Linked DNA regions of Oryzias latipes. The protein of the gene in region 2 binds, or shares a complex with, the protein of the main gene of each other region. Links are inferred from orthologs where the notes say so. Each region holds a gene or a part of one and is shown on either strand. Other genes may lie near its edges.

Evidence for each region. Proteins that work in one complex are often made in the same cells at the same time.
Region 1: rbx1 (region 2) and dyrk2 share a complex: the UniProt entries of both Homo sapiens proteins name them as parts of the E3 ligase complex. The link is inferred for Oryzias latipes from reciprocal best matches to the Homo sapiens genes RBX1 and DYRK2.

Annotation. Positions count from the first base shown.
Region 1 is NC_019881.2:22,931,412-22,935,734, reverse strand, and holds the start of dyrk2 (dual specificity tyrosine-phosphorylation-regulated kinase 2), read right to left. Parts: upstream 2,884-4,323; 5' UTR 2,777-2,883; coding exon 2,737-2,776; intron 2,659-2,736; exon of another isoform or gene 2,249-2,658; intron 1-2,248. UniProt on the Homo sapiens protein: Serine/threonine-protein kinase involved in the regulation of the mitotic cell cycle, cell proliferation, apoptosis, organization of the cytoskeleton and neurite outgrowth. Functions in part via its role in ubiquitin-dependent proteasomal protein degradation.
Region 2 is NC_019866.2:19,409,061-19,413,168, forward strand, and holds rbx1 (E3 ubiquitin-protein ligase RBX1), read right to left. Parts: upstream 2,694-4,108; 5' UTR 2,458-2,693; coding exon 2,380-2,457; intron 1,379-2,379; coding exon 1,300-1,378; intron 1,150-1,299; coding exon 1,079-1,149; intron 937-1,078; coding exon 851-936; intron 742-850; coding exon 729-741; 3' UTR 564-728; downstream 1-563. Other genes in the region: chondroadherin-like protein, read right to left, coding at 3,793-4,084. UniProt on the Homo sapiens protein: E3 ubiquitin ligase component of multiple cullin-RING-based E3 ubiquitin-protein ligase (CRLs) complexes which mediate the ubiquitination and subsequent proteasomal degradation of target proteins, including proteins involved in cell cycle progression, signal transduction, transcription and transcription-coupled nucleotide excision repair.

The DNA.
Region 1 (4,323 bases), on a different chromosome or scaffold from region 2:
TCTCTAAACTCACCGTCTGGTTTAAATGGACAGCTCTAAAACACTGGAAACGTCAAAAATCAAAAACAAGAGCTGTATAAACCAGAAGTGGAACTTTATGACTAAAATGAGGAAGAGAAAAAGAGATTCCTGTAAAGAAAAGGTGGATCTATAGATTAGATCAATCGAGATAAAAATAAGGCCAACTTTGCAACCTTCTGTCAGAGAAAATTCTTTATAAAAACTCTGAAACCTCTAGAGCAGCTGGTTTTCTGGAGTTAAATGAAGATATTTCATTAAAAAATACATCTTTCATACGCTGAGACACCAGAAACAGTTACACCTGATGAGCAACATTTACCAAAACTTATTCCTGAAGACAAAAACAGGTGAGTCACTGCTTTTTTATAGTCTTTCTAAATCATGTTTCCTGTTGTTTCACATCTTAATTTGACTAAAGTCTTATTTCTGAACAATTCTGTGCGAGTTGGAATTAACTGACCACTAAAAATCCTCATTTTTGCATATTTTTCAGGAATGTGCTACAAAGATGTGCTGCTCAGAGATCCATTGCATGTTTCTGATACCTTTTGTTCAGGAGCGGTGACATCATAGGCCCAGATTCCTGACAGCCAAAGCACGAATGTCAAGCTCAACTGCATTTGCCCCGTCCGATTCCTTGTGCTTCTGTAACTCCCAAAAAATTGCTTAAGGCCGTGATAGCAACTTCAAAATAAAAGCTTGAACAAAGAATTGAATTCCCAGACAAAATGAAAAAGAATTGCTGCAACAAAAACACCAGTCGCGCCTGAAAAGAGAAAAGGGGCTCTATAGACTGTATGTTTGACCCAAAAAGCCACAAAGATCAAACTAAAACGTAAAAAGATGAGAAGGACTGAAAGATGTGTGTACTTAAAGATCACAGGACAAAAATGTCAAAAAGAAAAGTTTCATCAGTCAGAACTGCAGCTGATCTGCTAGACAACTGTCAATCATGATGACAATAACTGAAACTTGGGCTCTGCAGACAACGAAGAACCACAGCACTCCATCTATTCACCCCACACTCCTGCTGGTATGATAACTGTGTCAACAAACAGGTCTCTGTTCATCAACAGTTTGCCTTCTGCAGCATCTGAACCCGCTAGCGTCTAACATGAAGTGGGGAACATAACTGGAACACAGCCTGAGGCAGCACAGACTGTCACCATGCGGGCCTGAGGAGGAAACCGGGCTGAGACGGATCCTCACACAGATCTAGATTACTCTAAAGTCAACTGATGGTACCGCAGGTGGAAACCAGGACTGCAGCTGAAATAAACACACTCCCATTGGTCAGCGTTAAAGGTGAGAAAGCTGCAGGTGTTTGTGTGCGCGATTCCAACACGTGAAGATGTGCTAATGAAATGTCTGGCATGCCATGGCGTTAGGCTGGATCGGCTCTGCCTGGATTCTTACTCAACCTGCCGACCCAGTCCACAAAATCCAACGGAGGCGGATTCCTGATGATCCACTGGATTTATTCCACTGACTTCAGCTGCATGGTATACGTACATGACACTGATCAGTGAATTGAACCTGATGCTAGTACTATAACTGATAACGACAGTTGTTATAATTGCAGTTTTAGCTAAAAGCCCATTTTTATTAGCATAAAATGAGAAGTAACTTAACTAAAAGTAGAATTCCGACAAATTTAATTTTTCCCAATGTGCACCAGACAAGTGAGCTGTACTGTAAATATGTTGTCCTTTTTTATTTCTATTAGCTAAGCCTTTAGAACAGAAGTCTTTATGCTAACACAGCAGGTAGGTTTTAGCTAGTTTTTATTTTTTTTATTTTTTTGTAACCACAATTTACGGCGGTTTTCCAAAGGTACATGTTAAAAATATATTTATGCGGCCCATAGAAGATATAAAAGCAATAATCAGACCAACAGAAATACCTGCACTCATATTACAGTTGGTATTATTGATGTACTACTACTACATAACACATTAGCATGAATGCTAAGCTAACTCGTTCTGGATGTTAAAAACATCCGTTTAGCCGTTTACATGTGTCGTGAAAGGTAGAACAACAATTTGAAATGTCATTAAAGGGTAAAAGATCCAAAATCCACAAATAATATAAAGAACATTTTGTTTTTCTGCTGCCAGCAGCATTATTAGCGGACTGTAACCGGAAGCTCCAGTCCGGTAACAAACGCCTCCGTAACACCCATGACAACAATGTCGGCTCATTAAACCACATCTATTTGTTTACTCACATACTAAATGAAGCGATTCGGAACCGAAACCGGGCTTTCCTCCTGTCAGGGGGACCCAAAAGGAGCCGCATACACTCAGGCAGGGAAACGAAATTGGTGTTCCACCGGTGAGGCTTCGGGACCAGAAGGAGCCGTAGGCTGGAAACCGAACCAGCAGCTCTCCTTCTGCCGCTGTCACTTCTCATCTAACGGCTAAAAATAAACCTAACAGCCGGACCGACACCTCCACTTCCGCCGGTTTCCTCTGCGCGCTCGCGGCGCAGATTCTCCTCCGGTCATCTCGGGAGAAGACGGTGGAAGTACCGAGCAGTCAGATGCACAGAGAGAGAGACGAGCCGCAGGAGCGGCGCTGACAGGCGGATACCGGAGCCCGGCGCGTGCCCGGCGGCGCCCGTGACCCACCATCCCGCGCGCCCGGACCGCCGCGTGCCTCCCGCGCGGCCACGGGCCTCGGCACCGCTCTGCGGGCTAAAGCAGGCTGAACTTACCCGTCGGGAGGACCGGGGCTCCGGGCTTCTTGGTTAACATGGCGGCCGCTCCTCTCCTCTGGTCTCGGACGAGCAGGACGCCTCCTCTTCCTCCTTCTTCAGCTCCTCCTCTTCCTCCTCCTCTCTTTCTAATCCTGTTACTTTGTTTACACTCCAGCAAGGCGGAGAAAAGTCACCAGTCGCACTTTCACCTCCGCAGATTTCAGTCCATTCAATCAAACATAATATTTGAACATTTCTGAGCAGAAGTCCTTTGATCTGCTCACCTGTCTCACCTCTGGTGTCAAACCCACGTCACAGATCTCGAGGTTACACTGCAGTGTCAGAAACGGGACATTTAGTGGGAATGGTCTCAGAAAATAAGCTAAAAGGGTAGGAAAAGCTCCTGTTCTGCACCTATCTGGTTCTATTTGTGAAACATTTAGCATTAATCCCATCTATTGTCTGAGTGAGATCCATCCCTGTGACAATGTTTTAGCTGTTGTTGCTTTGCATGTTTTATTTTATTTTGTATGATCTTTTTGGAAGTGTGACTCTTTCAGTAGATTTCTTTAGACCGGTGGTGCCCCCTGGTGGTGATTTCTGTGAATGATCAATTGTCCATATAAGTCTCTGAAACGTGAACCCTCATCCTAAATGAAGAAGACTGTTACACATTAAATGCCCTTTTGCCCAAAGTCTGTGGGTTTTCTTCTCTATTATCAGATTGTGAATCTCTGAGGATCTGAGGCTGACTTCCTGTTGCCTTCCTCCTCAGCACTGTTGTCTTCTGCCCATTTGTTGCCTAGCAACAGCCACAAAAACAAAGATTTAAACACCGTGTTCTCTCTGTTACGCTAACTGCTGTTTCTGCTTTGACCCATCTGTCCACTGAATAAACTATCCAACAAGTGGACAGATGGGTCAGTACTACAGTATATCAATTTACTGTCTTTCTCAAGGTTGAAGACTTTTGCTTAGAGTGATTATATAGTTCTATTTTACAAAACCTTAAAATTCACTGTCTGCTAAGAAAGGTCCAGTTACAGGAAATAAACAATAAAAGGCACATTTCGACCAATGCCTGCAAATATTAACGTCTTTAAGCTTTTATACATAGTGGAAGGTCTCTATTCATTCATTGAGCACATGGTTTTCTATGTTTATGGGACATGGTGCACAAACATTTTACTTCTATCAACATTGATGCCTAAAGTGAACTTTGGACAGCTTTGACTCAGCCAATGTTTCAGATTTCCCCCAAAATGATTATATATTTTATTGTTGCCAGCATTTTTTCACCAATAGATGAATTAATGCAAACAAATTATTATTCCTACAATGTCTGTTAACTTGTAGATGTTCTTTGATTGATGAGTAAATGTCCTTTATTTTGAGAAAAACAACATCAACAAAATAAAACTATTTCTGGGTAATTGGTTCTCCACAAGAGGTCAATTGTTCTGAAAAGATTGAGGCTGTAAGAAGTCATATTTATAGAATAAAACTAATCAGTTATCCAGTTGTTAAAAGTAAATCCTTAAAAATATTTAGTAAAAAGCTTCACAATAAATATTGGCATCTTTCATGCAGATATCAATTTTTATA
Region 2 (4,108 bases):
GCAGCAGTTCATTAGAAATTTACCTCCGAGTTGTGGGCGGGAGTGTTGGCATGGAGCAAACCCGCCCCATCCCCTCCCCGTTGTAAAGCGGGGCGCTTGTTGCCCACCACATGAATCTCATCACAAAGCTCTTTTTTTCATCTGAATATAGAATTACCGCTCATTGACTATCGCAGTTTACGTTTCAGTCTGTGTGGATATTTTTCATTGGAATCTTTTTTTTTTTTTTAATCGCAGGTTATTTTTGGAACGTAAATTTGAGCTTAGTTTTCTTTTATGCCCTTCATCAGAAAAAGGCACTAGAGCACGTTGAAAACACCAGAAAACAAGATTTTCATCAGAGTGGGTCTTTAGGAAGTATTCTGTCATGTGTGGAATTTAACAAATAGATGAAACTCATTTTTCTAACAGCTTCCACAATAAACTATGGTAAAGAGAAGTCAAACATTTTGGTGGTGATTTAATTTACACTGAAGATTCGTGTCCTTAAAGAGGGTTACTGCGCTGTCAACATCAATGTGATTTAAAGTCAACTGTATTAAAAAAACAAAAACACAAATGAAAGGTTAATTCCCAGTTTTTTTCCATTTATTATTTCAAACTTTTTACCTTACAAGCTCACCATTTAATTACAACATACTAAAACAAAAGTGTGGAAAATAATACAAGCCGCTGGGATTGAAGAAGCAGTGAAATTGATTCTTGCAGGAAGTGAGCGGCAGGCCGACTCAATGTCCATATCTGTGAAAACATGACAAACAGCTTAGCAATGTCTAAAGCAACAACTTTAAAGAAAATCGTACTTTCAGAAATGTAATCAATAAAACTACATGACATCAATCAAACTTACTTCTGAAACTCCCACTCTCTGTTATCAAGGGGACACACTTGTCTGGTTTTCAACCAGCGGGAAATACAATGGAAATGGAATGCATGCTAAAAGAAGACAAACAGGTGAAAAAGAAATTAGAAATGTTAAGGGCTTTAGCTCTAAATGCTCATATTGGTATCCATCATTTCATCTTCCAGAAAACACACAGATAATCTGAGTCTTCCATCAATTTAATTGGAAACTTACATTGCAGACCCCCCAGGCTACTGTGCATTCCTCTGAGGTTGCAGATGCTTGGTTGGCTTGACATTCTATGCCTGATCAAGAAAACATGCAACGTGTCACAGAAATCTAAACTTGTTGGGAGAAGAAGGGCTTGTAGAAGCTTAGAAGTACTCATTCTGCTAAAAGTTTGAAGTCAAAATGAAGACAGGAAGCTATCAGAGAATGCATTAAAGTGAACTCACAGAGATCCATGATGTGGTTTCTACAGATGGCGCAGTTATCCACAACAATGTCCCAGGCCCACAGCGCCACAGCATTCCACTGAGGGGGACAGAACAATCAGATGAGCACATGTTTAATCTATGTTACCCAGGATTATATACACCAGTTAAATGTTTTAGAACGTTCCAACGTTTCCAGACTTTTTTTTAACCATATCTAGCATAATGTCTTGTAATACTTTGAATGGAAAGGATCGAAAGAAATAAGCAACTGGAATTACAAAAAGAAAACAAAATATAGTTGTTAAACATGTCCACTGATCGGAATGTTAAAACATTTTAGGGAAATCAAAAATATTAGCATTTCCTTCCTGCCATTTTTGATAGACATGGCTGATATAAAGAACATGTTCCTGAATTATTTTCTTGTTTTTGGTCATCATGACACTTTTTTTCCCCCCATTTTAAAAATAGTTGACAGGAAAGATTTAGTGCTTCCTTTTACAGTAAAGATAAATATATCAAATTGCACCTGTCAGGTGCACAAATCAGATAAGCACTTTTAAGGGAATATATATATATATATATATATATATATATATATATATATATATATATATATATATATATATATATATATATATAAAACTTTATAGCAATAATCTAAAGAAATCGGTTAACATGTGAAATACACGAACAAAAATTTAAAATTAGAGAAAAAGATGATGTGCTGCTAGATCTTGAAACCTCAGCTTTATGCTAAGCTAAATTAGCATCCGAATAGCACAAAAATAAAACAAATATTAAAAGAATTAAGATTATAGCTCTCGTTACCATTTCAAAAACGCTGTTTTTCTGTTACGCTCGACTGAAGGTAATCTTGTAAATATCACAACATGGTCTAAGTTATGACATTATTTAGAAATGCACATTCATTTTCGTTAAGCAAGCTAACTTTATGCTAGGCAACATCGAACATGCTAATAGGAGTCGTTAACCAGCTAGAGGAGGTTAAAACAGACAGGGCTCCTTTGTTCTTCTTTTATATAGCAAACGTGTTTGACCAATCCAGAGTTGACCAGGTAATAAATAAAATCAGACCTTTTTAACTTCGAAGCGTTTCTTGCTTGAGCCACTGTTAGCACCACTCGGTGTGTCAACGTCCATCGCTGCTGCCATCTTGAAACGTCGTCTGTACAAAGCCGTCCGGATGTAGCAACAGTCTCAGTCGGTTAAGTTCATTAACTTAACCGACTGAGACGGGAAAGACGAAATAAAATAACAACCAAAACATGAATTTCATTTAAAAATTAAATAAATTAATTAATAAATAAGCACAACTTTAAAGAAGATAGTAAGTGATTCCATAGACGAGGGTGGAAGAAAAATCTCAGGTCCCACCGAGATTTGAACTCGGATCGCTGGATTCAGAGTCCAGAGTGCTAACCATTACACCATGGAACCATGTTGAAGCCACAGCCAAGAATTATTAAGGTACCATCAAGACACCGATCACACGTTCAATTCGAATATTGTTAGAATTCTATCTACTAAACAGGTTAACTACATTTTTGCAGCTTAACAATTTCTTTAAAAAGAAAAATTTAAAAACAGGAACTTCTTCATTCATCAAAACGGTGAATATAACGGGTTTTAAAAATTATTAGCATCCTGCCGTAAATGATTTAATGCTAAGTTAACTTACAGGCCTACTTTTTGTGTTCCGTGCTATTTATTATTTGAAAATAAAATAATTGACAGACACTTTAATGTTTGACGATTGTTGAGGTGAACAGGGGTTCCATAATATTTTCTATGTTCTTTTAAATATGCATTACAGGGGTTCTATTATATGTTGTATTTTCTTGTTATTATAATGGATTCTATTTTTGCATGTATATTGTACTGCACAAATATGCTTGATTCCTGCCCTCAGTAGCAGATAATATGTGACGAGGTCACCAGTAGGCCTGTTTTTGACTTGCAGTCTCTGCTTTCTTTCTGTACTGGAGTGTTTATGGAGCCATAACAGCTGCAATGCAGACTAGACAGAAACACACCATTCTACTGACGTATTTTGTATGTTTTCATCTTCCCTTACTTAATAATAAAAAACGCCTTTTTGCCTTGAGGACAGAGAGAGCGGACAGCCACAGAGCCTAACAGGTCATGTTTTTCCAACTCTCCGTTTTTGCAAAAGGTTTGAGAATTCATGCAAACTCTTGTGTCTTTTCGTTTCCCCAACTGCACATTTCATTTTTGGACGTCCTGAACCATCCGAATCCGCGAAGGCCGGACAGGAGGCCAACAGGATCAATAAACTTATATATTTTGTGACTTTTAATATTTTTTGAAAAGTTGTATTCTGTTGTTTAGAGTAGCTTTGCCTACAAAATATGAAGATAGTGCACACAACATGTTGTATGAAGCAGTTTTAATAAAAAAACAAAAAAGTTGAACTTTTTCCCAAACAAAACTCTTTGTAAAGAAACCACCAAAACATGATTCATTTTATTATAATGCCATCTTGTTCATGGTCTTTTTTGGAGTCCCAGATTTTTTTTGTAACCTTTTCTTAGATGATTTGCTTAGTTTCGACTTCGCAGGTCTAGTTTTCACTTTGGGGGGCTTCAAAGAACCTGGTTTGGTTATTGTAGAAAGTTTCGGCTCCCTGCTGCCCTCCTGCTTAATGGAGGCGTTTTCTGAGCAGGATGCGAAGACATTAATGTCTCTGACTTGCTGACCTCTGAGGTCAGGAGGGTTACCGCAAGTCGCTGTAACTTCAAATCTCACACTCTCCATCCACCTGAAACACAAAGATAGTACACAA